Linked DNA regions of Callithrix jacchus. The protein of the gene in region 1 interacts with the protein of each later gene in a pairwise test. Links are inferred from orthologs where the notes say so. Each region holds a gene or a part of one and is shown in the gene's direction. Other genes may lie near its edges.

Region 1 (5,381 bases):
AACTCCCAGACTTGTGATCCACCCACCTCAGCCTCCCAAAGTGCTGGGATTACAGGCCTGAGCCACCACGCCTGGCCTATCCAGTAAATATTTATTAAGCTCCAACCACATGCTGCATCCTTTTGTTGTTGTTTGCTTTTTGAGAAGGAGTCTTGCTCTGTTGCCCAGGCTGGAGTGCAGTGGCACAATCTTGGCCCACTGCAACCTCTGCCTCCTGGGTTCACGTGATTCTTGTGTCTCAGCCTCCCAAGTGTCTGGAATTACAGGTGCCCAACACCAGGCCCAGCTAATTATTTTTAGTGGAGATGGTTTCACCATGTTGGCCAGGCTGGTCTTGAACTCCTGACCTCAAGTGATCTACCCACCTCGGCCTCCCAAAGTGCTGGGATTACAGACGTGAGCCACTGCGGCCAGTCACCAAGCATCCTTTTAGGGGCTGGGGACTCAGTGGTAAACATCATGCCTGCCTCCTCGAAATCACCTACAGTCTCACTCTGATCCGTGTTTAGTCCTGTCCTGTATGATAATAGTTGTCCATTGAGCTCATAAAATCTAAAACCATGCTGGGCTTCTGAGGCCCACAGAGCCCAGCTCGGTGCTAAAAGCTAAGTGGTGCTCTGTCATTGCTGGGGTTCAAGTGACTGATTCTAACAGAGATCAGCTATAGAGCTAACACTTGGTGGAATATTTTAAATACCGATGGCCATTTCACTGGTTTCTGCCTATGGTAAGTACAGGTACACCCAAAAGTGAAAAGCCTCATTTATAGTGTGTTGCTGGGGGAGAGGGAGGTTTGCAAACTGAGTCATTTTTTCCCCATTCAGCCTGTGTGTGTCTGTGTGTCGGCCTGTGTATCTGTGTGCATGTGCCTGTGTATGTGTGTATCTGTGTGTGAGTGCCTGTGTGCATGCCTGTGTGTGCACCTGTGTATGTCTGTGTATGTGCCTGTGTATCTGTGTGTGTGCCTGTGTCTGTGTATGCCTGCATGTCTGTGTATCTGTCTCTGTATGTCTGTGCGTGTCTCTGTGCCTGTGTATGTATGTGTGCGTGTCTGTGTATGCCTGTGTATGTGCCTGTGTATATATGTGTGTCTGTGTATGCCTGTGTGTCTGTGTGTCTGTGTGCCTGTGTATGTCTGTGTATCTGTGTGTGTATCCCTGTGTGTCTATCTCTGTATGTCTGTATGTGCGTGTCTGTGTGCCTGTGTATCTGTCTGTATCTGTGTATGCCTGTCTCTGTATGTCTGTGCGTGTCTGTGTGCCTGTGTATGTGTGTGTATGTATCTGTGTGTGTCTGTGTATCTTTCTGTATGTGTGCCTGTGTATGTCTGTATGTGCCTGTATGTATCTGTGTGTGTGCCTGTGTACCTGTCTCTGTATGTCTGTGCATGTCCATGTGCCTGTGTATGTCTATGCCTTTATGTATGTATCTGTGTGTGTGTGTCTGTGTATGCCTGTGTCTGTCTCTGTATGTCTGTGTATGTATCTGTGTGCGTGTCTGTGTATCTCTCTGTATGTGCATGTCTGTATGCCTGTGTATGTGCCTGTGTGTCTGTGTGTGTGTATGCCTGTGTATGTGCCTGTGTATGTCTGTATGTGTGTGTGCCTGTGTCTGTATGTGCGTGTCTGTGTGCCTGTTTATCTGTGTCTGTGTCTATATGTATCTGTGTATGCCTTTGTGTATGCCTGTGTCTGTATATCTGTATGTATGTGTGTCTGTGTGCCTGTGTATGTCTGTCTGTGCCCGTGTGTCTGTGTGTATGTATCTGTGTGTGCCTGTGTTTGCCTGTGTATCGGTCTCTGTATGTGCGTGTCTGTGTACCTGTGTGTGCCTGTGTATGTGTCTGTGTATGTATCTGTGTGTGTGTGTGTGTGTGAGTTCATACGTGTGCTTAAATCAAAGAAAAAACGTTTTCATTTGTTCCCTTCCTCCTTCCTCTCTCTGTCTCTCCCTGTTTCCGCAGGTCAGCGTTGAAGTTTTGGTAGAGTATCCTTTTTTTGTGTTTGGACAGGGCTGGTCTTCCTGCTGTCCGGAGAGAACCAGCCAGCTCTTTGATTTGCCGTGTTCCAAACTCTCAGTTGGGGATGTCTGCATCTCGCTGACCCTCAAGAACCTGAAGAACGGCTCTGTTAAAAAGGGCCAGCCCGTGGATCCCGCCAGCGTCCTGCTGAAGCACTCAAAGGCCGACGGCCTGGCGGGCAGCAGACACAGGTATGCTGAGCAGGAAAACGGAATCCACCAGGGGAGTGCCCAGATGCTGTCTGAGAATGGCGAACTGAAGTTTCCAGAGAAAATGGGATTGCCCGCAGCACCCTTCCTCACCAAAATAGAACCCAGCAAGCCTCCGGCCACGAGGAAGAGGAGGTGGTCGGCGCCGGAGAGCCGCAAACTGGAGAAGTCAGAAGATGAACCACCTTTGACTCTTCCTAAGCCTTCTCTAATTCCTCAGGAGGTTAAGATTTGCATTGAAGGCCGGTCTAATGTAGGCAAGTAGAGGCAGCGTGGGGAAAGGAAACGTGGCTCTCCCTTATCATTTGTATCCAGATTACTGTACTGTAGGCTAAATAACACAGTATTTACATGTTTTCCTCTTATTTTAGGTTTCTGTTCTAACCTTGTCATTAGAGTTACAGCAGGTGTGTCGCAGGAGACTGGTGCATATGCTTTTTCCACGAGTGTCAGTGAGCAGGCGGGAGGAAGGGGGCTCCAGGCATCCCCTGGGAAGAAAGGAGTGGGGCTTCAGGGGCACCCGCCTTCTCTAGCAGCACAGAAGCAGCCCGGGGCGCTGACTCCTGCTAGTTTCAGGGGAAAGTTCCGTGGGAAGGGTCCTGCAGAGTTGCAGGGGTGCATGCATGTGGGGGTGCAGAGGCACTGTGGTGGCCAGTGAGGGTCTCTTTTTCTCTGCCTCCCTCTCTTGTTATCAGCATGGGACTGGGGATTCAGAGCAGGGTCCTCCTGGGGTTCCCATGTACACGATCAACAGCAGGAACCCAGCTTCAGGGCATCGCAGAGACGCGTCAGATGGCAGATTTGGAAAGCTAACCATTTAAAAGAACATTTTTCTCTCCAACATTTTACAGTAAAAGCAACTTTTAATTGTATAGATATATATTTCCCCCTATGGGGCCTGACTGCACTGATATCTTTTTTTTTTTTTTTAAAGAGCAACTGCCACATGCGGGATTTCATTTCTGCTTTACTAGTGCAGTGATGTCACCAGGGTGTCGTGGACAGGGAAGCCCCTGCTGTCATGGCTCCACGTGGGGTAAGGGGGTTTGGGGGTGGGGCGGGGAGAGAGTGAACACCCACGCTGGTTCCTGTGCAGTGTTAGGAAGACCTATCAGGTTACTGCCTTGACTTCACTCCCAAGAGGTAGATGCAAACTGCCCTTCCGTGACAGCAACGGAAGCTCTTCTCAATGAGTTTGCAAAATCTGTCTTTTAATTCTAGTACTGTTTATAGTTCATGACTATGGACAACTCGGGTGCCACTTTTTTTTTTTCAGATTCCAGTGTGACATGAGGAATTAGATTTTGAAGATGAGCATATATTACTATCTTTAAGCATTTAAAAATACCGTTCACACTTTATTACCAAGCATCTTGGTCTCTCATTCAACAAGTACTGTATCTCATTTTAAACTCTTTGGGAAGAGGAAAAAAAAAAAAAACTAAGTTGCTTTCTTTTTTTTCAACACTGTAACTACATTTCAGCTCTGCAGAATTGCTGAAGAGCAAGATATTGAAAGTTTCAATGTGGTTTCAAGGGATGAATGTGAATTATGAACTCGTGTGTGACAATAAATGACCAAGTACTACCTGACAGGAGGCACTTTCACTTTGATGTCTGAGAAACAGTTACAGGCATATGCAGAGTGGGCAGAGGAACTGAGGAAAGGGATGGAGAAGAGAATACTCATTTTTGTCCAGTGTTTTTAAGATGAACTTTTAAAGAACCTTGCAATTTGCACATCTTGAGTTTGTAATTTGTGTGATATTCCTGCAGTTTTTATCCAATAACATTGTGGGAAAGGTTTGGGGGACTGAACGAGCATAAATAAATGTAGCAAAATTTCTTTCTAACCTGCCTAAACTCTAGGCCATTTTATAAGGTTATGTTCCTTTGAAAATTCATTTTGGTCTTTTTACCACATCTGTCACAAAAACCCAGGTCTTAGTGGGCTCTTAGAAACTCTGAGAATTTTCTTCAGATTTGTTGAGTTTTCCATAAAAACATTTATATATGTGAGCAAGATTTTTTTTAAAACAATTGCTTTATTAGTGTTATTTTCAGAATGACTTTTTTTTCTATTCAAAATCAAATCAAGATTTAATGTTTGGTACAAACCCAGAAAGGGTATTTCATAGTTTAAACCTTTCATTCCCAGAGATCTGAAATATCATTTGTGGGTTTTGAGTGCATCTTTAAAGTGCTTTAAAAAAACGTTTTATAAGTAGGGAGAAATGTTTAAATATTCTTACTTCGAGGGCTGCAGCGAACCTGAACAAATCCATACTCGATTTTTCTTTTACCCCCTTGAAAATAGTATTTCCTTCATTTCACAAATTAAAAAACAAAAATCTGACATCATCAGCCCACATTTTGGCTATCTAGTATTCATTTACATTTAGCACTCAGCAGGACTAATGATTTTTGTAAACCATTTTCTGGGGTGTACCAAAAACATCTGAATAGGTTTAGAATAGCTAGAATAGTTCCTTGACTTTCCTGGAACTTCATTACCCTCTCAGCATGCTTGCAGAGAGGTGGGTGGGCTCATTCTTGCGGTCAGACTGCTTAGTTAGTGCTGTATTTTTTAAACGTTTCTGTTCAGAGAACTTGCTTAATCTTCCATATATTCTGCTCAGGGCACTTGCAATTATTAGGTTTTTTTTTCTTTTTGTTTTTTAACCTTTGATGGTAAGAGGAATACGGGCTGCCACACAGACTTTGTTCTCGTTAGTATCACTATTGACAACTCATGTGGACTCAGAGAAACACACACCACCTTTTGGCTTACTTCGAGTACAGAACTGACTGGATCCACTAAACTAACACTAAGATGCGAAAACACACGTGGTTTGCAGCAATAGGAACATCATCATTTTTGTGGTTCTATTTCAGGTATAGGAATTATAAAAATAATTGGTTCTTTCTAAGCACTTGTCCCATTCATTCTCTTGCTTTTTTAGCATGTGCAATACTTTCTGTGCCAATAGAGTCTGACCAGTGTGCTCTATAGTTAAAGCTTATTCCCTTTCCGCTTCTTCCTTGTTTGGTTGATCTTCCCCATTCTGGCCAGAGCAGGGCTGGAGGGAAGGAGCCAGCAGGGAGAGCGCCTCCCACCTTTCCCTTGCTGCAGATGCTGAGTGCTGGGGCGG
Region 2 (5,970 bases), on another chromosome or scaffold:
TTGAAGCCAGTAATTCAACACCAGCCTGGCCAACATGGTGAAACTGTCTCCACTAAAAATGCAAAAAAATTATTCGGGTATGGTGGCACGCCCCTGTAATCCCAGCTACTTTGGAGGCTGAGGCAAAGAATCACTTGAACCGGGGAGGTAGAGGTTATAATGAGCCAAGATCATGCCGCTGAACTCCACCTTGGGTGACAGAGTGAGGCTCTGTCTCAAAAAAAAAACCAAAAAAACCTTCTCTTAAAGTTGGAGAAAAAAATGTCTAGAGTCTGCCAGTCAACAGCTTTGAAAACCTGGAAATAATTTTTTCAAGCTCGGAATATCTAAAATTTTAACTATAATAAAAAATCATGATACCAGCTTATTAATCTACAGGGAGCCCAGGTTGGTTGTAAAATCATCTCCTCAGTAGGAAACTCTACTTAGAAGTCAAATTATAATCCTAAATTACAATGGTGGCTTCAAGGGCACACATTTGTACAGGACCCAGCAAGAAATCTGGTCAGATTTTCAAGTTTTGCCATCCCTTTGCCTAGTTACTGTTCTTCTGTTAAAACACCCTTCAACAAGAATTAGCCAGGTGTAGTGGTGGGTGTCTGCAGTCCCAGCTACTTGGGAGGCAAGGTGGGAGGATCACTTGAGTGGGAGAGGTGGAAGTTGTAGTGAGCCAAGATCGAATTGTACTCCAGTCTGTGGACAGGGACCCTGCCTCAAAACAACAACAACAACAACAACAAAAAACCCACCCTTTCTTCCACAGTGCTTCATACATTTATTTATTTATTTATTTTGAGACGGAGTTTTGCTCTTGTTACCCAGGCCGGAGTGCAATGGCGCGATTTCGGCTCACTGCAACCTCCACCCCCTGGGTTCAGGCAATTCTCCTGCCTCAGCCTCCCGAGTAGCTGGGATTACAGGCACACGCCACCATGCCCAGCTAATTTTTTGTATTTTTAGTAGAGACGGGATTTCACCCTGGTGACCAGGATGGTCTCGATCTCTTGACCTCATGATCCACCCACCTCGGCCTCCCAAAGTGCTGGGATTACAGGCGTGAGCCACTGCACCCGGCCTGCTTCATACATTTAAATACCGTGGTTCACAGAGGCAGTACATTGGCCGCAGTTAGCTGTCTGTCCTGCTCACAGGTACCTTGTTTGGCATCACTGTGTTTTAAAAGTAGCTCTTTTAGATAGGAGTCTGTACTCTCCAGTGGGTCCTAGTCCTTATGTCAGGTCATCTTTTATTGTTACTTGCCTAGCCTCTACAGCCATTTGATTTAGCAATTTTAAGGGTTTCTTTTACATAAACCACATACACCCAGGATAGGACTCCCCCAGCCATCTGGAGTGCTCATTCACTACTCTAGAGTCTAGGTCTGTGCTGTCCAATACTGTGGTCACTAGTTGCATGGGGCTATTGAGCTCTTAAAATGAGCCCAGTCCGAAATAAGATGTGCTGTAAGTATAAACACCACATTTTGGAAACTTAGTACGAAAAAAAGAATGTAAACTATCTCGTTAATAACTTAAGATTGGTTACATGTTGAAATGATATTTTGACTCTCTTTCTTGAGGCAGCGTCTTGCTCTGTCGCCTAGGTGGGAGGAAGGGCAGTGGTGTGATCATAGCTCACTGCAACCTTCACCTCCAGGGCTCAAGGGATTCTCCCACCTTATCTTCCGGAGTTGCTGGGACTACAGGCACACACCACCACGCCCTTCTCCTTTTTGTATTTTTTGTTTAGACGGGGTTTGGCTATGTTGGCCAGGCTGGTTTTGAATGTTTGTGCTCAGTCTTCACCTCAGCCTCCCGAAGCGTTGGAATTACAGGCCTGAGCCACAGCGCCCGGCTGACCAGTTCTTTAAATCCACCTTCTGTTGTAAATGCTGTTTAATTAGGCTGCTTTTATAGTTGTCTGAGAGCAGAGAGAAAAAGCCCTACAACTAAGTGATGAGAATCACCAAGTAAGGGGGACGTGGCCACAGGGCAGGAAGCAAGTGCAAAGTTCAAATCACACACCAACGCGGTTCCCTTCTGCATTCAAGGTCAAACACAATTTTTTTTTTTTTTTTTAGTAACTTCCTATATTGGTGGGGCGAACTGATGAGGCAAGGTACCCGTGGACAAACGTTTCTATGACGCCAAATACATTGCACAAACCACGGTGGGTAAAAAACGGATGAAAAGTTCTTGATGGAAGGGAATGAGATGGGAAGGTCAATTTCTGGCTTGCCCTCTCTGTCTCCAACTACTCTGCCTGCAGAAGGAAAATGCTGGGAAACGAACCTTCAGCTACAGGCGACGCTGCTCTAAGTTTGAAGCAATTGGGAAAAGAAGGCCATATCCCTAAAGTTATCCCAGCGTAGGATCCGCCACGCTAAGTTTCCTCAGCCCCAACGGACGGTTCCGCCTGCAATCGTCTTCCAGCTCCCGGCCAGCTTAAGCTTCATCCTCGCCCGCGCCCCACCTCCATCCCTTTCCCGGCCACCCATGAAACGCCTTGATGACGCCATTTTAAACAGTGCTATCGCGAGATACACTTCGCAATTTCCAGCCTAACTCATTTGCTTTCTTGCGAGAGTCTCTTCTCGTCGGCTCTCGCTGTAGCCAAGGAAAGTGTCGCGAGAGCTGGTTGCCTTGGCTCCCTGTAGCTATAGCAGCCGCGGCGGTTAAGTATGCGGCGGCAGGAGCGGTGAGTGCGACATCCTCAGGGGGGCGGGGCCGGGGGTAACGGGGTGCAGGGGGTAGCGCCTGGGGAGGGGGTGTGGGGAAGGTTGGGTCGCGGGAGGAATGGACCTGAGTGTGACGTGTGGGGAAAGACCTGGGTCCTGTGGGTACAGGGACGCGGCGCCGGTCTGGTCTGGGGCACGCGGGGAGGGCAAGACCTGCTGGGAGGTCCAGGGGGAGGGACCCGGGTGTAGTGGGGTTCAAGGGGCGCGGGCTGGAGCGTGGAGGGGTGTGTGTATTGGGAGCAGGGTGTTTACGGAGACTCGGAACTGGATAAAGAGGCCAGGCTACACTGGGAAAGAAGTGGGAAGAATTGGGGTACAGCGAGGAGGAGGGTATGTTGAATGAGAGCACAGTTTGGTTGGGCCCAGTTTGCTTTTCACTGGTTAGGGGAGTGGAGGGAGGAGAGGGATCAGACCTTTACAGATCCCGGGACTCTGCCTGAGGCTGGTCGGGGACCGCGCGCCAGGACCTGGGTCCTGAATGGCGTGGCGGGAATGGTGGCGTCCCAGACCGTCACCGCCTCCTTTCCCTCTTTCCGGAGAAATACCCCACGGACACTCCGAGATGCAAAAGGAGAGTCCTGGTGAACTAGTATTAGTTGGGAAGGTCCTTTTGGCTGAGAAACTACGAGTGGTTCGATTGCTGCTCTAAAATAAAGCGCAGGGTGGGGAGAGAGCGATTCTTAAGAAAAAAAAAAAAAAAAAAAAAAAAAAGGTTGCTTCCCCTGAAGCTTACTGAGTTGGAAGAAGGGGGTGTGTGCTAAGATGATGTTTCTTCCCAGACTCATTCAACTGTATAATTCCTTTACGGTGTACTTATGAAATATATGCAAGGTAAAAATCAATTTAGGTTATATGGTGAAAAAATATGAAATACGACACTTAAACCTTCCACAAATATAACTTAAAAACCACTTTTTTTTTTTTTTTAATTGCAGCAGCAAGCTGAACACTAAATCTAGGGTTAGTGTTAGTTATTTGAATGTAAAACCTATTTGTTCCTAAAGTGTGCCTATCAAGTTATTTGCCTTTTAAGAAATGAATGAAATTTTATTTTGGGAGACAACATGTTTTGAATGTCTCAATGTTGAAATAAAAGGTGTCTCTCAGGAGTTAAAATCAGTGAGAGGGGAAAACATCTAGTCTTTGAGTCTTAAGGACTGTTTTCTGGAAACAGATGTGGACCACTTTGCTGGGTTATTTCAATCAACAGATACAAGCTTTCTGATCATTTTTCTATTTTTTGTAGGTATAAATTTGAAAGGATAACCTCTCGATTATATAACTGGATTTTTTCATGTCGAGGTTCACAAATACATTAATTAGAATAATGGCTTTTTGGCTGGGCACGGTGGCTCATGCCTGTAATCCCAGCACTTTGGGAGGCCAAGGCAAGCGGATTGCTTGAGGGCAGGAGTTCGAGACCAGCCTGGCCAAAACAATGAAACACCGTCTCTACTAAAAAAATACAAAATCAGCCGGGCGTGATTGCACCTGCAATGCCTGCTATTACGAAGGCTAAAGCAGGAGAATCACTTGAATCCAGGAGGTGAAGGTTGAAGTGAGCCAAGATTGTGCCTCTGCACTCCAGCCTGGGCAACAGGAGCGAAACTCTGTGTCAAAAAAGACTTTTAAAGTTCTTCTGAATTTGAGCTGGTTTTGATGTGGTTAGTCACTGAACCCATTTATTTCATACATGTTAGAGTAAAACCTAATTTGTAATGTCAGCAGCTAAACTTTAAAGTAGAAGTGTTTTTCTGAGGCAACACAAAGTTTTGTGTGGTGATTGGGCCCAAAAGATTTCTGCATGAATCAAATAACAAGCTTTACTGCATTCCTGTTATGTGTAAAGTACTGTGTAAGGCACTGCAGGGAAAAAAGATTAATTCATTTATCCACTTACTATTTACTGAGACTTGGCTGAGTGAGGTGGCTCATGCCTGTAATCCCAGCACTTTGGGAGGCTGAGGCGGGTGGATCACCTGGGGTCAGAAGTTCGAGACAAATCTGGACAACATGGTGAAACCCCGTCTCTAATAAAATATAAAATTAACTGGCTGTGGTGGAGGGTGCCTGTAGTCCCCAGCTACTTGGGAGGCTGAGGCAGGAGAATTACTTGAACCTGGGAGATGGAGGTTGCAGTAAGCTGAGATCCTGCCACTTCATTCCAGCCTGGGTTACAGAGCAAGACCCCCGTCTCAAAAAGAAAAATTTATTGAGACCTATTTTGTGTCTGATTACTAAGCCTTCAGGATACAAGTACAGGTAGAACTTGCCTTGGAATCGCTCAGACCCTATGAGGGCAGACTGATAGAGAAAAAAAATACATACAATGTGATCAGCACAATATGTGAACATGAAAGTATGAGACAAAGTTCTGGCCCTGAAGAATTTATATAGTTGTTGACAAGACAACAAATTGTCTCTTTTTTTTTTTTTTTTTTTTTTTTTTGCAACAGTGTCTCACTGTGTTACTTAGGCTGGAGTGCAGCAACAAGATCATGGCTCACTGCAACTTCAACCTCATGGGCTCCAGCCATCCTCATACCTCTGTCTCCTGAATAGAGCTGGGGCTACAGGTGAGGGCCACCATGCCCAGCTGATTTATTTTTAGAGATGGAGTTTTGCTATGTTGCCAGGCTGGTCTCAAATTCCTGGGCTCAAGTGATACTCCCACCTCAGCCTCCCAAAGTAAGAATTTTCTTTTCTTTTTTTTGAGATGGAGTCTTGCTCTGTTGCTGAGGCTGGAGTGTAGTGGCGCAATCTCGGCTCACTGCAACCTCCACCTCCCAGGTTCAAGTGATTCTCCTGCCTCAGCCTCCTGAAGAATATTTCTTTTTTTTTTTTTTTGAGACAGGGTTTTGCTCTGTTGCCCAGGCTGGTTTGCAGTGGTGTCATCACAGCTCACTGCCATCTCAACCTCCTGGACCCAAACTGTCCTCCCACCTCAGCCACTTGAGTAGATAGGACCACAAGTACATGCAACAACGCCCAGCTAATTTTTGAAACTTCTTTGTAGAGACGAGGTCTTGCTATGTTGCCTAGGGTGGTCTGGCTAGTTACTCATCAATCTTCTTGCCTTGGCAGCTTGGCTTCCCAAAGTGCTTTGATTACAGGCTTGAGCCACTGTGCCCAGCCTAATAATTTTCCCAGTTACAAAGTATTAAGCAAACTCTAAATTGTGCTGCATTAATGAAACACACAGTACGTTTCTCAGAAGAGATAAAAGAATGAAA
Region 3 (6,026 bases), on another chromosome or scaffold:
ATGTTATTCAAAATAATCAACAGACATTACTTTATGGATATGAGGACTTGGGAGGCATTGTGTCTACTTTTGGCTTCTTATGGTTTATTGTCTCATTGTGTTCATTTTGGACTGTTACCTTCATTGCAATATATTAACTTAAATATTTACACTTGGTAACTTACTTACCGTAACTTACAGGGCGTAACTGTAACTTATTTACCATAGCTTACAGGGCGTGATTGTAATTTACTTACCTTGACCTATTGGGCATAACCTACTTACTGGGCGTAGCCTACTTACTGGGCTTAACTTACTTACTGGGCTTAACTTGCTTACTGTAACTTAAGTACATTAATCTGGTGTAAACAACTTTAACTTCAGAAAAGTATATAATGAAACACATTGCAAAAATAAAATTGCTGCATGAGCATAGCGCATGTAGCCCTCCAGACCTCGCCTTTTTTATCTCCTTTTTTCCGGCGCGCGCTCTCTTCCAGGTTTCGGACCCTCTCGCTGGACAAGATTCCCGGGCTCGAGTTCAGTTCACAACAAAACATATTTTTGTTTTGTTTTTCAGACAGGGTCTCACTTTGTCACCCAGGCTGCAGTACTGTGTACACGGCTCACTGCAGCCTCAATTTCTCGGTCTCAAGTGATCCTCCCACCTCAGCCTCCTAACTGGCACCACACATGTGCACCACCACCTGAGGGTCATTTTTGTATTTTTTGTCAAGATGGAGTCTTTCCATGTTGCCCAGACTGCCTCCAACTCCTGGGCTCACGTGATCTTCCTGTCCTGCCTCGGCCTCTCAAAGTGCTAGGATTACAGGCATGAGCCACCACCAGGCCTGGGACATGTTTACACTAGAACATTATTCATCATTTATCTGACATTCAAATGTAACTATTGTTCTATATTATTTGCTAAATATGGCAACCTCATTCTGGCACATGGTTATACTGTAGACATATTAATATTAAAAATTATCACTCCTTCTAAAGAGGGAGCATTTGGGGAAAATTATTTACATGCAATGTACTTATATAATGTCTGTTTAAAGTATGTGAAATATAGGCGAGGCACAGTGGCTGAAGCCTGTAATCCAAGCACTTTGGGAGGCCGAGGCGGGTGGAGCAAGAGGTCAAGAGATCGAGACCATCCTGGTCAACATGGTGAAACCCCGTCTCTACTAAAAATACAAAAAATTAGCTGGGCATGGTGGCGTGTGCCTGTAATCCCAGCTACTCAGGAGGCTGAGGCAGGAGAACTGCCTGAACCCAGGAGGCAGAGGTTGCCGTGAGCCGAGATCGCGCCATTGCACTCCAGCTTGTGTACAAGACGGAAACTCCGTCTCAAAAAAAAAAAAAAAAAATTATCACTCCTTCTAAAGAGGGAGCATTTGGGAAAAAATTATTTACATGCAATGTACTTACATTATGTTTGTTTAAAGCATGTAAAATATAGAACACATTGATACTAAAAATGTATTCCTTTTTATTTTTATATTTAGAGACAGAGTCTCACTCTGTTGCCCAGGCTAGAGTGCAGTGGTATGATCTCGGCTCAGTGCAACCTTTGCTTCCCAGTAAGCGATTATCTTGCCTTGGCATTACTGGGGCGCACCACCATGCCTGGCTACTTTTTGTGTTTTCAGTAGAGACGGGGGTTTCACCATGTTGGCCAGGCTGGTCTCACAACCCCCAACCTCAGATGATCCACCCACCTCAGCCTCCCAAGTGCTGGGATTACAGGCATGGGCCACCGCGCCCGGCGTCCTTGTTTTTCTTGAGTTTACATATAACTGAGCTTTATTTTTTGCTTACTAAATCGGGCAATGCTACTATGATACTATGGGACATAATTACAGTGGAAATCACTTACACTCATGTATTTATATCCAGAAGCTTTTTAAATACCCTAAATATGAAACAGTAATACTAAAAATAAATTCACTCTTCTCCTTAATTCAAGTCTAGCTGGACGTCCTGTATTTTTACTTGCTAAGTCTGGCGATCCTATTCTGGGACATACTTGTACTAAACGTATTTACATTAAAAACACTGTTTCGGCCGGGCGCGGTGGCTCAAGCCTGTAATCCCAGCACTTTGGGAGGCCGAGGCGGGTGGTGCACGAGGTCAAGAGATCGAGACCATCCTGGTCAATATGGTGAAACCCCGTCTCTACTAAAAATACAAAAAAATTAGCTGGGCATGGTGGTGCGTGCCTGTAATCCCAGCTACTCGGGAGGCTGAGGCAGGAGAATCCCTTGAACCCGGGAAGCGGAGGCTGCGGTGAGCCGAGATGGCGCCATTGCACTCCAGCCTGGGCAACAAGAGCGAAACTCCGTCATAAATAAAGGATCATGGCGTGTGTGGAACGCCTGCGTTTTGCTCAGCGGCCGCCTCGTACTTGCGCATCCCCGCAGGCGGCCCCTTCTCGGCTCCCCTCAGAAGCGCCCTCGAAGCCGCGCGACCAGTTGCCAAGGCGACACGAGCCGGAGCGGGAGGTTACTGGAGGGCGCGGCGAAGGCGGGGCGCTCATCCCAGGCGGCATCCGATTGGCCACGGCCGCCTAGTGCGTCACAGCCCCGCCCCTGCCCGGGAGTCCCGCTACGCGTGACGTGACGCTAACGCGCGGCTCGCCCCAGCGGACCAATGGCGGCCGCCCGCGGCGCGCGGGGTGCCGGGAGGGGGTCCGCCCGCGGCGCTGGGCGCGCTCGCCAGCCCAGGGGTCGCCATCACTGAGCGGCCCAGGCCGGAGCGGAGCCCGCGCGCGGTGAGTCCGCCGCGGCCCATCCGTTCCTCCACCCGCCAAAGCGCCCATCTCCCGGAGGGGCGCGGCGCCGCGTCGGCGGGAGCTGGCCCGAGATCGCGGTCCCGGGGCGCGAGTCGGGGGAGGCTGGTCGGGGCGGGGGCGGGCCGGGCCGGGGTTCCAGAGTCCGTCGGGAGTCGGGAGGTCGCTGTGGGGGAGGGAAGGGGAAGGCTACAGCCCACGCAGGGAGGGGGTTTGGGGTGCTGGGGCCGCCCCTTCCGCGGGGACCTCGATCCCCGTTGGCATCCGCCTGTCACTTTGCGGCAGAAGCCCCTCTACGCACCCCCATTGCCCGCCTAGACCCCGCTCGGCCGCGTTCAAGTTCTCCCTTCAGCACCTGATCTGCATCCCAGGACCCATCTCCCTCCCGACCAGCCACCCCCATCCCGTCTCCCTCCTGACCAGCTGCCCCCGAACCCATCTCCCTTCCAACCAGCCGCCGCGAACCCATCTCCTACCCGAACAGCCGCCCTGGACCCATCTCCCCCGACCCATCCCCCACCCAACCAGCCCATCCCCCCAGCCGACCCCCAACCTGAGTCTCCGTCCCTGCCCCTCCCCCGTATTCCTAGTGCGCTGCCCATTGCTTATGGAGCTCCCCTGTGTGGCATTGTAAGCCCCCTTCTCAGAGCCAGAGCCATTCACTGACTGGCGCAGGGAACACGTCCACCATGTCAATAAGCATCCGGCATCCACGGCAAAGCCCTTCCGCCCATCCCATCCCCCTAGTAGAATTTGGGGCCTGGGCTGCAGATCGCAGTGCTCCTGCCGAGTGAACCAGGCACTTCCACCAGGCACTCAGCCCTCCAAGTGACACTCTCACACATTCCCAACACTAATCCCAGACCCCTACCGAAGTAGACCTCTAGGACCCCGGGGCCACCACAGCATTGCCCATGGGGGGGTCCAGATCCTTCTTACCAGCTATGTAGACCTCAGGACCCTCCGCATCATCCCAGGCCCTCTTCATCTTCCAGAAACGGCCTCCACCATCAGTCCAGGACCCTCGTGAGCTCAGGCACGCCCGAGTTTTCCCATACAGACCGCAGACACAGCTGCGGACTCTTGTGCCCTCTGCTAAGAACTCCTCTTTACCCTCATCCCCGATAAACTTAGCCTCCCCTCTCACAGACCTCAGCCCAGGACCATGGAAGATGCGGAGGGGCTACAGCGCTCCCTGGAATCTCCATGGTGAGCTGCCATGAGCACCTGAGAGAGTATAAGGACTGAGGCCCCAGGGCAAAGGGACTTCTTGGACCTGTGGAGCTTCAAAATAGGCCCTTTTTCCTTATTCAAAAGTACATATATAAAAGTGTGAATACAATGTAAGAGACTATATTTGCCTGTGGTCTCGGCAGGAGAGACCAAGCTGTAGTCTCCCAATCAGGGTGCAGGTGGCCGGGTACGAGACTCGAAGATTGCTGGTGGGGCACAGGCCTGGTGAGTTGCCTTTTCTGCCACCCTGCACCTCTCCTTTCTCCTGGATTGTAAAACCCATGCACAAGACCTGTAGAGGGTACGAAGAATGCAGCAGAGGATGAAGAGGGAAAATCCCATGGAATCTCTCCTTTTCACTTGTCATCAGCATTTCCCTTGTAGTTACAAATCCTTCCTAAAGATTTCTTGTTCTGTTTTGTTTTTCCATGTTGATGAAGGTCACATGGGATCCTGACACCATTTGGAGGACATTCAGAGAAGTATGAAGAACACAAAGCACTTGGCTGGCCCCCTGTGGGCCTCTGCCCAGCACCCGCTTTCTAGGACACTCATGCATCATCCCGCATCCCGTGTTCTCTGTGCCTCATGTCATCTGAACATCATGTGTATACTCCCTGTGGTCATGTCATGGTGTGTGTTGTGCACATGGAACACCCCCCATCACATGGTGGGGGAGGTACTTGATCCCACCACGTTCAACAGCTGGGCACTTTTATAGTGAATCTTGCATCCTGCATGCAATCTCCCAAGTGTCCTTCATATATAAGTGTCCATAGTGCTTTCCAGAAAGGTCATGCCAATTTCTATTCTCACCAGCAGATCAGCCCAGAGTACAGTTGTTAAAGACAAACAACCAAAACCTCCGTTTATTTTTATAACGTTTAATGTTTTCTTCAGTTATATATTCACCATAGTAGGCTTGGAAATGTACAAAAGGTGTTTTTGTTTTTGAGACAGAGACTCACTTTGTCGCTCAGGCTGGAGTGCAGTGACAGAATCTCTGCTTGCTGCAACCTCTTCCTCCGGGTTCAAGCGATTCTCCTGTCTCAGCCTCCCGAGTAGCTGGGATTACAGGCACGTGCCACCACGCCCAGCTAATTTTTGTATTTCTAGTAGAGACATGGTTTCACCATGTCAGCCAAGCTGGTCCCGAACTCCTGACCTCAGGTGATCCACCTGCCTCACTCAGCCTTCCAAAGTGCGTGAGCCACTGCACCCGGCCACAAGAGGGTATTTTTTCATTGCCCTCTACTCTCCGTGTCTTTTCAGTCTCCAGTCTCCCTTGCCCTCTTCCTGCCCTCCTCTACCAGCTTGGAGTTGGTAGGAAAAGCATGAAGGCAGCAAAGATACCATGGGCAGAGACTGCTGCTGCCGCCGTCACCGCCACCGCCATTCATTATTATGTAGCCCACCTGGCTGCTTCCATTTAAATTTAAAGTTCAGTTCCTTATTTCAGGTGCTCCCAGCCACGTGTAGGTGGCTGCATGGGTGGAGAATGTCTGCATCCCTGTCGGAGCTTCTGTTGCGCAGCGCTGGCTACTCCACGGGGGCAGCCAGTGGAGCTCCCGCAGCTCGTCAGTCGATGAGTGTTGAATGACTAGATGAGAGGGAGATAGACTCTAAGGAAAAAAGATGTGTTCAGAAAGGCCTGGGGGGGGTGGAAGACGGCCGGGACATCTGGGAGGGGAGGGGCTGGGGTTTGATGGCCGGTGCAAAGGTCCTCAGGCAGCCAGTGGCTTGAATTCAGCGCAGAGTAGCCTTTGAGAGGCATGTGGAAGAGGAGGTCAGGAGGTGGGAAAAAGTCAGGTTAGTTCCTTGGGGTGCTGGAGGCCAGGACTAGGAAGTGAGGAGCTGAGGGGCATCCTGAGCAGGGAGGGCCACCATCTGATGTGGCCCCTCTGTCCCTGCCCCTCTCTGCAGGCCCCTGATTGCTGACTCCGCCCACCTGCCACACCGGCTCTGTCTGGAGCCACTGAGACTCTTGGGATCCAGTCCACACAGACCCTTCAGAGGG
Region 4 (5,908 bases), about 4.3 Mb from region 1:
ACCACCATGCCCAGCTAATTTTTGTATTTTTAGTAGAGACGGTGTTTCACCATGTTGACCAGGGTGGTCTCGATCTCTTGACCTTGTGATCCACCCACCTCAGCCTCCCAAAGTGCTGGGATTATAGGTGTGAGCCACCGCGCCCGGCCCCACAACGTTTTAAGAGTTATTGATGAGTAATTCTTCCAGGAAATAAGAAAGTCTAGAATGAAGTCCTTCTGCTCCTCCTCAAGCAGCTGACAAGCCACTCTCCTAGGCTGGCATTAACTCTATCTGCAATTCTGTGGAAATACACTCCTGGTATCTGCTATAAACTGAATTGTCCCCCTAGTACTGCAATTCATATGTTGAAGCCCTAACCCCCAATGTGACTGTATCTGGAGATAGAGTCTTTAGGAGGTAATTAAGGTTAAATTAAGTAATAAGGGTGGGGTCCTGATCTAACGGGATTAGTGTCAAAAGTACAGACACCAAAGAGCCAGTGCATGCATGTTCTCTCTCCCTCTCTCTCTTTCTTCCTCCCTCTCTCTGTGCATGCAGTATACCTAAGAAAGGCCATGTGAGGACACAGAAAGAAGGTGACAGTCTACGAGCCAAGAAGAGAGGCCTCAGAGGAAGCCAACCCTGTTGATGCCTTGATCTTGAACTTCCAGTCTCTAGAACTGTGAGACACTGTATTAGCTCAGGGTCTACTGCAACAAAAATACCACCTTGTTAGATCACAGATAAGGTTGGGTCATTTTCATTGAATGCTGTTCTTTCTCTAGGGTTACTCAGTATGCTGCTGTGGACATAGTTTATAAGGAATTCTTTCAGGAACTGCAAGCACCAATCACATCTAGTTTTCTTTCCCCTCTTTGCAGACTAGTACACCAAATAATACCCATTAAACTGTCATTACTTGCCATTGAACGAGAGTCTTTTCAATGAGACGAGGCTTCCTCTAATAGCGTGTCTCCTACAGGTAGCAGTGTAAGTACTGGAATAAATGTGAATTAAATTATCCTTCTAAAAACTAGACATGGTTGAAATTAAACACATTTTCTCTTCTTTCCCTTAAGCCTCACACCATGCCAGCATGCCTATCATTTTCATGACACATCAAAACTTGAAAAACTTTAAAAAATTCCCTTTTTTTCATCTCTAGCAAACTAATGCATAAAAATTCCCTTTTCTTATTCGCTCCATCGATGTAGAATATTAGGAAGTTATCGTAATCTGGTTTTCACAACATATAATCTTTAAACTTTGAGCATCTGACTATTTTCTGGATTCCCCCATCAGGGCTTTATCATTTACCAGCTTTGTGGCTTGCAGGAAACGATGCAGCATTTCTAAGCCTCTGTTTCTTCATCTACAGTGTGGGTTTATGGTGGGGATTAAATAAGTTCATACAGAAAAACCTGGCAAGTCGTAAGCTCTCAATAACTGTTCGTCACGACCACTACCATTACTACTACTGCTAACCAGCCTCCGTATGGACCCTAAATCCATCAGTAACAATCACTTTCCTTAAAAAGACCATTCTCAGGCCAGATGTCTCCAAATGGCTACCAACTGTTCGTAATATCATGGCTTAATTCCTTCCAAATGATGACTGAGTAGGCTCTTTGCTGGTTGCCTGTTGTCTGCCCATTCTGTCGTCCTAGCTCATTACTAGAGAACCCACCCTTCCCATTGGCCCGGGGCAATCCAGGTGTACATCTCTCATCCGAGTATAATTATTAATACTCTCCCTTTCACTCTTGAAAGTGTCCTGGTGTGGGTGTTACTTGTATCTCATTTGCTGAGACTTTCTGCTCTAGGTGGAAAAACCATCACACACAGTTCACTTGCTCTCACCTTCAAGAGATTTCCCTCCTCTGTAATGCTGTTCATACACCACTGCCAAATTGTGAACTTTCTCTCCTTCAATATCCCACTGAGAACTCACGCTCAGGATGGAACTCTGCTCACCCTGTCCTCTACTCAAGCAGAAGCTTCTCTGCGATCATGTAAATAACTGTATAACTTTAATTGGCTCTGTTTATAAGCCTCTTATATCTTTTTTCCCTCTAGGTATTTTTCCTTGTGTTTATCCTGTCTCCATTAATTTGTAATCTCCCAGAGGGCAAGGCCTGAACGCAGGATTCTGTTGGTGTAAAGTGTAGTCACAGGTAAGGCTGATTGCTAGACAGCGCCATCCTTTACTACCAATCTGTTAAAAAAAAAATCCTTTGTAGTACTTTGTTAGTGATGGTCCCGAGACTGCTAACCTAATGACAAACTATATTCAGTATCTGCTAGTGTCCAAGCAAGAGAAAATCAAGTTACACGCTTTCCATAATGTAATGGGGAGGGTGTGCGGATACTCTGACCCGTAAGGGAATTTATGATGAATGTAAAGCATGTTATAGAATGTGTTGCCTTTAGAGATTTATTCTTGTCTTTTCAAGGTTGCAGGACTGTCTCAGAAGGAAAATAATATTTATCTTCCAAACTGAGATCTAAAACCCGAACAAAACCGCAGGAAACATACTCCACCACCATCTTACAAGTTTGTGCTCGGGTGGAGGAAAACGAATCTAAAGTACGAGGCCTCCCTCTGTGCGTCTAGCAGGAAAGACCACATGGCGCAAGTCTCCAGGATCACTGGAGGGGTGGATTGTTCATTTCAGCCCAGGTAGCAACAGGAAGCCCGTGCAAATGCTCCTCTCTCGCTGCGGGGCTAAGGAGTGTGGGTCCTTAGCCGCGGTTACCTTCTCGCCTTTCTCGGAACCTGCAGGTGGAGTGCGGAAGATCAGTGTATCTTCTCGGCGCCGAGCCCAAGGTAGAAAGCGATGGAGGCGGTGCACTAGATAACATCAAAGCCCCCGGCAGGGGCCAGAAAGGGGGGCACCGGCAGCCCGGGGAATGAAGCGCCTCCCTCTAGCATTTCCTCTCACGCCCACTTCCAACCTAGGAGGCTTTTGGTTTCTGCTTTTGTTGTTTTTAAAATTAAAAGTTAAACCCAGGAAGCTTTGCATCAGACTTTTGCGGTGCAGTTCGGGTAAGTTTTTCTCCGGGTTCTTTTGTCTGGCGCCTGACTTGGGAAGAGCCTGGGCGTGGGGCAGAGTTGGCAGGGTGTGCGGAGAAGGTTTTGTCGCCGGGTCGCCCAGAAGGTTTTGTCGCCCGAGGAGGAGGGGATTCGGCCGGTGGACGGGAAAGCCCGGAGCGCGCCGAGGGTGGAGGGTGGAGGGTGGAGGGTGGAGGGCGGAGGGCGGAGGACCGAGGGGAGGGACGGGCGGCGTGACCCGGCGGCCGGCGGGGAGGAACCTCCGGGATCTCCGCGTGGCGGTGGCGGTGGCTGCGGCGCTGCTGGGCCGCGCTCTGGGCGGAGGGCCGGGGCCCCGGGGCCGCGCCAGGGGGGAGCCGGATCCGGGCTGGGGCGGGCGGCCGCGTGGGAACTGGAGCCGGGTACGCGGCGGCGGGGGCGGGCAGGGTGGCGCGGGGCCCAGTGGACGCGGCTCCGGGGTGGACTTGTGCCCTCTCCAAACTGTTTGGTAAGAAAAACGTGTGTAGATCTTTTCAGTGACACTGTCCTCCCTTGAACCGCACTCTCCCCCAGGAGGGGCTCCAGAAGCGTTCACGCGGACGGTAGAGATGGATTCCTAGAGAAATGGTCCCCTAGGAGCCCCCTCTTTTTTGGGGGTCAGAGAATGATCACTCGCTCCCGCATTGTCCCAAGATTTTTGACAGTTGAAAATGCAGTTTGCCATTCATATTCACCCTCTGCTTCATTTTTTCCCACGCTCTTTATCTGATACATTTTGAGAAAATATAATGGATTTGCCACAAAAAAAATTAAGCCTAAAGAAGATACTTTATAGCCTAGCCAGATTTCCTTGCATCCGGATATCTAGGAAGAATTGTAGACAGAGTTAGGAAAAGAAACTGCATTTAGAAAATTCAAAGACTTACCAGGAAACTATTCTGTATTGTATATATTTCAAATAAAAGTTTAATATCGGTTTGCTGCTCAAGGAAATAGTTGAAATGTCAAAAATTTACCTATTATGATTCAAAATTGCATGTATGTCTTGTGAGAAAATTCGTAGTAATGCTGAATCCTACATAAACACTGTGTTGACAGTATGGTATGCCCAATAACAATTGGGTTAAATGTAATTCATTCAGTTAGCATTTTTCACTTCGGAAGTGATACAAACTCCACTCATTATCAAATTACCTTTCTCCTGACAGATCCATAGCTATACGTTCACAGTTAAACGCATGTTTATTTTTTGATTCAAATAACCTAGTTGGGAAGTTACATTATATACTTTTTTTGGTGATATCATTTCATTTCAAAAAAGAGAGATGGTTATATCACATTGAAAATAGAAATTGCACTATTTCATTGTAGGGTTAGCATTAGTACGCTAGACATTCTTTTACATGTACACAGTTGGATGATCTTTGCTTTTATAACCAAATTATAGTAGGCATATTTCCCCCTTTAGATATTATTTTTGGCTACAAACTTGCCATTACCGAGTATTCCATTTTTAATCATTCCCATTCTGGTGCTCTGAGCTTTTCTTAGCTCAAATGAGCTAGAGGTAGGATTTCCTCAGGGGAATTTTAGGGGTCAGCTCTAGCAGGAAAAACCTAGACGTCGTTATGGAAGCCCAAGGGAACAAAACAATTCAAGTTTGCACAGATGGCCAGCTGTCTTAGTGGGTGTATGGTCGTTTGGCATTTTTATTCCTTAAAAGGGGAAAACAGTTTAGTTTCATCAGGGATTTTTTTTCTTTTGCATCAAATTTTTGGTTTCACCTTATTCCTCCCAAGTTCGAGGTGGCCCATTAAACCAGCCACTCCTGCCTGCTTCTTGAGGTGCACGGGTGGAATTTCTGTGCCCCAAACTGCGTACGTTCTTTAAGTCTAACCTTGAAACCTACGTTGCCCTGGTCCATACCCTCTTCACTGCTTTGCCGTGGATTTCCACTCCTTGCTTCCTCTACTGCTTTCTAGCAGCCGGGGTCACACTCTGGTTCATGCTAATTACTCCCTCTTCCCCTTTCACTCCCTCCCCAGCGTCCCTGGAGCCCGGTCCGACGCCCAGCCCCGCATCCCCATGTTCAGTCCCCGAAGTCCCCTCCCGGGGCGGCCCTAAGCTGTAGGGCTGGCAGGCAGGGGTTAATTGCGCTCGCAGCTTCGGCACTGGAAAGCACCAGCGAGGCTTTGGAGCGGCCTCTGGAATAACCTTGGCTTTCCTCGCTCTTTTAATAGAACATCCGCCACCAAAAAGTGGTTTCAGTTCAGGGTTAATATTCTGTCCCCTTCCACTCTCCAAACCAACACCCCTCCCCCCTCTGGTTTTTTTAAAAGTTGTTTTTCAAAGTTAATGAGTGTCAAGTTTCACAATGACTTTCCCCTTCCTTCTACGCGTTGCTGAGGAAACCCCCTTGGGGTCCCCCCCCCGCCCGCCCCTGTGCCTCCCGTGCCCCTCCCCCATTCTGCCCGGCCGAGGGGCGGGACCGGGAGACCCCATGACGTCAGCGGCCGGCCCACATCCTGCTGTAGAAAGTAAAGAGACGGTAAAGAGAAACTACGGCCCCGCCCGCCCCGCCCCTGTTCCCGGATCAACCGCCTCCAACTGCGCGACCCGGCCAGGCCTTCCCTGGGCCGCGTGACCGGCTGGGGCCGCCTCTCCGCCCCCGCCGGGTGCGAGTTCCCCTGGCTGCGCGACCCTGGGCTCCCGCCCCACGCGTCCCTAACCCCGCCCCTCCCCCCCTGGGCCGCGCCGCCGCCTCCTCCCTTGCACCCTCCTGTCCCTGCGGCGGCTTGGCCGGGCGGGGCGGGGCGGAGCGGCGGGTGGGTGGCGGGGCCGGCGCGGCCTAGGGCCCGCCCCGCCGGGGAGACCCGGGGCTTTGGCTCCGCGTTC
Region 5 (5,912 bases), on another chromosome or scaffold:
GGAGTCCAACACCAGCCTGGCCAGCATGGTTAAACCCCATCTCTACTAAAAATACAAAAATTAGCTCGGTGGCAGGGTGGTGCACAGCTACTTGAGAGGTTGAGGCTGGAGAATCACTGGAACCTGATCGGCAAAGGTTGCAGTGAGCCAAGATCACACCACTGCACTCCAGCCTGGGCAACAGAGCCAGACTGTCTCAAAAAAAAAAAAAGAAAGAAAAAGAAAAACAGAAAAAAAAGTTGCAGCAATGAATCAGATAGACGCAATTTCTGAATTTTCACCACAGCACATATGTTTAAAATCAGAAAAACAAAATTTTAAAGTAACAGGTGGAGTTGGGGGAAAATAAATAAATAAAAGTAACAACAGGTCGGGCATGGTAGTTCACACCTGTATCCCTTATCACTGCACTTCGTTTTTCGTTTTTTGTTTTTTTTTGAGACGGAGTCTTGCTCTTTTTGCCCAGACTGGAGTGCAGTGGCACCATCCTGGCTCACCACAACCTCCGCCTCCCAAGTTCAAGTGATTCTCCTGCCTCAGCCTCCCAAGTAGTTGGAATTATAGGCATGTGCCATCACACCTGGCTAAATTTTTGTATTTTTAGTAGAGACAGGGTTTCTCCATGTTGGTCAGGCTGGTCTCAAACTCCTGACATCAGATGATCCATCCACCTCGGCCTCCGAAAGTACTGGGATTATAGGCATAAGCCACCACACTGGGCCTTATCCCTGCACTTTGGGAGGCTGAAGCCAGCAGATCACTTGAGCCCAGGAGTTCAAGACCAGCCTGGGCAACATGGCCAGACCCTTATCTCTACAAAAAAATTGTTTTAATTAGCTGGGTGTTGTGGCATGTGCCCGTAGTCCCAGGGACTTAGGAGGCTGAGATTCGGAGGACTGCTTGAGCCGGAGTGGTTGAGGCTGCAGTGAGCCACGATTATGCCAGTGAATTCCAGTCTGGGCAACAGAGTGAGACCCTGTCTCAAAAAACAAACAAACAAAAAAAAAAAAAAACAAAGAAAACAGGCTGGGTGCAGTGGCTCACGCTGTAATCCCAGCACTTTGGGATTACACCGCACCTCAAAAACAAAAAACAAAACAAAACAAAAAAACAAAGACAGAATAAAACAAACAAATAAAAAAACAAAATTAGCCGGGCATGGTGGTACATGCCTGTAATTCCAGCTACTCAGGAGGCTGAGGCAGGAGAATAGCTTGAACCCAGAGGTTGCAGTGAGCTGGGATCATGCCATTGCACTCCAGCCTGGTCAACAAGAGTGAAACTCCATCTCAAAAAACAGGTTGGGTGCGGTGGCTCACGTGGGAGGCCAAGGCGGGCAGATCACAATGTCAGGAGTTTGAGACCAGCCTGGCCAACATGGTGAAACTCTGTCTCTACTAAAATTACAAAAATTAGCTGAGTATGGTGGTGGGTGCCTATAGTCACAGCTACTGAGGAGGCTGAGGCAGGAGAATAGCTTGGACCTGCAGAGAAACATGTAAATATATTATTCATTCTCTAGTCCCAGAAAGGTCTGTGTAGGTGCAGTGGAAAAAGCATCAGCCACAAATTCCATAGCACTGGTTCAGGACCAGGAACTAACTAGTTTGCTCTGTGACAGTGGGGTAATCACACACCCTCTCTGAGCAGATCTCCCCTTCTCTAAATTTGCTATGCTGTACATCAACACTCATCATACTCTGGTTTGCAAAGGCTAATCAACAGAGTGCTTTAGAAAGCCTTTACCTTAGGGCCAGGTGCCGTGGCTCACGCCTGTAATCCCAGCATTTTGGGAGGCCAAGGCAAGTGGATCACAAGGTCAGCAATTTGAGACCAGCTTGGCCAATATGGTGAAAAGCCTTCGCTTCTAAAAATGCAAAAAAGTTAACTGGGCATGGTGTCACTTGCCTACTCTGGAGGCTGAGGCAGGAGAATAGCTTAAACCCAGGAGGCGGAGGTTGCAGTGAGCCAAGATCGCGCCACTGCACTTCAGCCTGGGCGACAGAGTGTGACTCCGTCTCAAAAAAAGACAAAAAGAAAGCCTTTACCATGGTATGCACAGAGTTTATTATTATACCTTTTCTAGGCTCTGAAAAACTGCCAGATCATGAGCAGTGCTGTGCGGAGTTGATCACGTGGCGCAATCTCTTTGGGCTTCTGAAAATAGCAGATGACCAGGACAAAGGCCCGGTGACTTCTCAATTTCTTTCAGCGCTAAAACACAAAAAACAGAAACTTGGAATTTCTCAGTGGCTTGACTACAAACTCCGCAGGTTACCTCCCTCCCTCCTGCCCCTAAGGGGCGCTGTCCCTTTAAATCCAGACACGGGCCAATCACAGTGAACAGAAGTTCTTTAAGGACCAAAGGAGGGAATTCAGTTTGAGGAGGGCGGGGCAGGGGCGTGCCCTCCAGCCAATCGGAATCTCTCTGGAGAACAGTGACTCACGTGCAAAGCTCTGCCGACCAATGTCCTGAGCGTCGAGAGGCGGGGCGGCTCCTGATGTGTGGCAGCGGCCGGGACCAATGGGCACGTCGCCCGCGGCCTATAAGAGTCCGCTGGGCTCCCGGCTGCAGGCGCTAGGGTCGGTCAGTCGTCGCCGTCCGAGGTGTGCCTTGGCTTTGTCTCGCCGTCGCTGCCGCCTCGTACCTGCCTCCGTGCCCCCCGCCTTGGCTCCTGCCCAGCCGCTCTTCCTGTCCTCTCCCCTTAACCACCCCCACGGTTTCTGCCGTCGGGGCCCGGGGTCCGGGCAGATGATGCCGTCGGAGAGCGGAGCTGAGCGCGGGGATGGGGCAGCTGTGCAGGTGGGGATGGCTGCGGCCACGGCGGTGGCCACGGTAGCCCCGGTAGGCGGCGGCCCCGACCCGGAGGCCTTCTCGGCCTCCCCCGGACGGCACCTGAGCGGGCTGAGCTGGCCACAGGTGAAGCGACTGGACGCTCTCCTAAGCGAGCCGATTCCCATCCACGGGCGCGGCAATTTCCCCACGCTGAGCGTGCAGCCGCGGCAGATCGTGCAGGTGAGAGGACGCTGGGCGGGGGATATGGTGGAATCCCTTCTGAGGCTCTCGAGGCTGGAAGGCATTTGGAGTCTGTTTGACTCTCTAGACAGCTAGAGAAACTGAGGAACGTGGACAGGGTTGTAACAATTACATAGCATTATGAATCGCAGACCAGACCTACCCCTGCATCTACTAATCCTTCCCCATCTGGCTTTTCCATCTCGACTCCTGGAGAACTCTGATTCCCCACGGACCACTCACCCAGGCCCTGGCTGGGGGAGGGGAGAAGGATGTCGAGGGCATTGGGGAAGAATTTGTCTCTGCCTGCAAGGACAAAAGATGCCAGGCGGCCCTGGGTGGGTGAGTGTGAATGCTTGAGTTCAAAATAGATTTTCCTTCCCTATCTGGGCATCCCTGGACCTCAGCCTCCTTTCCTCTCGAGGTTCTAGGAGTAGACTCTAGGCCTTATGTTCCTACAGCCCTTTGCTGGAGAAACCTGCCCTTCCCCCTGGGCCCTGTGGAAAAGCCAGGAAAACTTGTCAGGGACTCCCTCACTCGGCTGCGGTTGTGGCCCAAGATTTATTAAGCTGAAGGTCAGACCTGATACCCCACCCCCAACAGCAACATTAAATGACCAATTTAGGTGCTGCTGCTTCTTCCCAAGATTGGAAATGAAGGCCGACCCAGGCCTCAGGCCCCACGTCCCATCTCTCCTGAGGAACGGGAGAAGAGAATTCTGACGGCCCCTCCCTCCTCCTTGGTACTCCAAATCTTCCCTTTATCTGAACCTCAACGACCCCAAGACTGCTTTTTCATCTGTACAGCCCAGACGATGTCATGTTCTGAAATACCATTTTATAGCTGGGGCAGTGAGCCACCCAAGATTACTTAATGAGGTGAAAATCAAACCCAGGGAATCTTGGGTCTTCCCAGGAGCAGATTATGGTAGGTTCAATGTTTTCCAACCCCTACCCCTGCTCCCAAGGTCAACTTCTAGGTCTTAGGAAGGCTCCTCTGATAAAAGAAACCAGGAAACTCAGAGAGGACTCCTGTGGATTCCTGCCAGGTGATAGCTTTCTTCCTGAGGAGGCAGACTCACCGGCTGGATGAAGCAGGCCTTTCCCTTGCCTCCTACCACCTTAGCTTCCTGCAGAGGGGGAGGGGTGCCTGCTGGCAGATTACCTCCCTCACCCTCCGGAGGAACTAGGAACAGGATGGGGTGAGGGCAGATTATCCTGGGCTGACTCATGGGGCCGAAGCATTCCTCGGCTGCTCTGCTCAAGGAACTAGTCACCTGGGGAAACCAGTCAAGGCTTTACTCCCCAGGACTGTCAAGTCAATCCTGGGGCCCCAGCTGCTGCACCTCCATGACTTTGGCCCCAGGCATGGCGGGGGGTGGGAGGTGGAGCCCAGTGTGGCAGCCTCCCTCTGCAAGAACAGGGGGTACCTGGAGGGAGGAGAACTCCTTGCCCTGTCAGTATGGTTTAAACTGCCCCTATTGGTGTCTGCTCTGTGCCAAGCCCTGTTTAGGAAGCCAAGGGCACAGATTTGACTGGGACTCGGCCTCCACCCCTTCAGGTGCTCCTAGCCAGATGGGGAATACTCCAGGTCAATAGGAGCTAACCTTACAATTTGATGGTGGTACCATGTCCTTCCAGACCCGGGTCAGAGAGAGCACAGAACCGGGAGCTGTTGGCAGCAGTGAGGAAGGGTGGCAGAGACTTCAGAGCTGGGCTGGGAAGTTGGACTTGGATTCAGGGCCTGGGCTGTTTGTTGTCAGTTCTGTTTGCTGGGCTCAGTGTCCCTGTCTGTTCAGTTGGGACTAGGCTGCTGCTTTCCAACACCCTCTAGTTCCTGACTCCAAAGGGGACAGGTGCTTTCACCTGGTCTGCACAGCTGCCTCCACAGGAAAGAAAGTTTCTTGGAATAAATCCACAACCTTGAAGCTGGCAACCTTGAAAGCTGTTGGGATGTGTGCAGGGATGGGGGCAGGGGAGAGGGGGAGCGTGGTGCCGGCTGTTGCCTCATGGCTTTTCACCACTGCTGAGTTGTCCTATGGCTCAAAAATTGGAACCTATCTCCATCTCCACCCCTACAAGGCTTTGCCTGGAGTGACAACCTGAGCAGCTAGATGCTGTTCTTGCTTGTATCTGTGCTAAAGGGACCCGCCCTACTGTAAGGAGGCTTCCCAAAACTACAGGCAAGGAGGCCTTTTATTAGCTGTGTAACCTTGGACAAGTCCTTTGCTTCTCTGGGCCCAGAGGATTGAACTGAACAATCTGATCTCTCCAGTTGCAGCCAGAGGGCCTGCATCAGGCTGCGCTGCAAGTGAGTTTTGTGAGCCTGCTGGCTGACAGCGTCTGTCAGCCTCCCCGCAGGTCTCAGCAGCAGCCTGGAGCAGAGTGGGGAGGGTCTTGGCATGGGAGAAAGGAGGGTGCAGCCATTGCCCCCTCCATGGCTGGAAAGTCTGATTCAGGAGGCACCAAGCTGCCCTGCAGTACTTGGGTGTGGTGGTAACTGGGGACCGCCTGCCAAACTGGCAGTAGTCACACCTGGGAAGGAGACAGCAGTGACTGGCTGGCTGACACAGCTGGCCCCATGGCCCTGACGCAGGGGATTTAACAAGAGTACTCCTGCCTACTCACTAGGCCAGGTGCCATGCCCTGGGGTGGGCACCGGCCTGGGAGCAGGAGCTGGCACCAAGTAAGCCTCAGTCAGCCCTAATGGGATTTGAGGAAGTGGCTGGTCTTCTCTGCAGGCTTGGCAGTCCTTGGACCAAGGTCTTTGGCCCATGCAGGCACAGCTGCCAGCTGACAGGGTGTGGGTTAGAAGTTCCACAGGCTGGACTGCAGCAACTGGCCCTGTCTGGCCAAGGCATTTCCCAACCCCCACCTTCCTGTTCCCCAACTACTCT

What was found. The genes of interacting proteins can lie anywhere in the genome.
Region 2: the proteins of ATXN1 (region 1) and USP54 interact in binary tests that used the Homo sapiens proteins (3 or more experiments, as listed by UniProt). The link is inferred for Callithrix jacchus from reciprocal best matches to the Homo sapiens genes ATXN1 and USP54.
Region 3: the proteins of ATXN1 (region 1) and ZSCAN1 interact in binary tests that used the Homo sapiens proteins (3 or more experiments, as listed by UniProt). The link is inferred for Callithrix jacchus from reciprocal best matches to the Homo sapiens genes ATXN1 and ZSCAN1.
Region 4: the proteins of ATXN1 (region 1) and HIVEP1 interact in binary tests that used the Homo sapiens proteins (3 or more experiments, as listed by UniProt). The link is inferred for Callithrix jacchus from reciprocal best matches to the Homo sapiens genes ATXN1 and HIVEP1.
Region 5: the proteins of ATXN1 (region 1) and TENT5B interact in binary tests that used the Homo sapiens proteins (3 or more experiments, as listed by UniProt). The link is inferred for Callithrix jacchus from reciprocal best matches to the Homo sapiens genes ATXN1 and TENT5B.

The regions. Positions count from the first base shown.
Region 1 is NC_133505.1:14,368,652-14,374,032, forward strand, and holds part of ATXN1 (ataxin-1), read left to right. Parts: intron 1-1,963; coding exon 1,964-2,494; 3' UTR 2,495-5,381. UniProt on the Homo sapiens protein: Chromatin-binding factor that repress Notch signaling in the absence of Notch intracellular domain by acting as a CBF1 corepressor. Binds to the HEY promoter and might assist, along with NCOR2, RBPJ-mediated repression. Binds RNA in vitro.
Region 2 is NC_133513.1:56,504,178-56,510,147, forward strand, and holds the start of USP54 (ubiquitin carboxyl-terminal hydrolase 54), read left to right. Parts: upstream 1-2,635; 5' UTR 2,636-2,697; intron 2,698-5,970.
Region 3 is NC_133523.1:50,725,218-50,731,243, forward strand, and holds the start of ZSCAN1 (zinc finger and SCAN domain-containing protein 1), read left to right. Parts: upstream 1-2,691; 5' UTR 2,692-2,758; intron 2,759-3,771; exon of another isoform or gene 3,772-4,152; 5' UTR 4,153-4,234; intron 4,235-4,449; 5' UTR 4,450-4,491; exon of another isoform or gene 4,492-4,642; intron 4,643-5,932; 5' UTR 5,933-6,026. UniProt on the Homo sapiens protein: May be involved in transcriptional regulation.
Region 4 is NC_133505.1:18,641,372-18,647,279, reverse strand, and holds the start of HIVEP1 (zinc finger protein 40), read left to right. Parts: upstream 1-2,573; 5' UTR 2,574-2,662; exon of another isoform or gene 2,663-2,764; 5' UTR 2,765-3,028; intron 3,029-5,908.
Region 5 is NC_133508.1:63,659,181-63,665,092, reverse strand, and holds the start of TENT5B (terminal nucleotidyltransferase 5B), read left to right. Parts: upstream 1-2,577; 5' UTR 2,578-2,752; coding exon 2,753-3,016; intron 3,017-5,912. UniProt on the Homo sapiens protein: Catalyzes the transfer of one adenosine molecule from an ATP to an mRNA poly(A) tail bearing a 3'-OH terminal group in an ATP hydrolysis-dependent manner.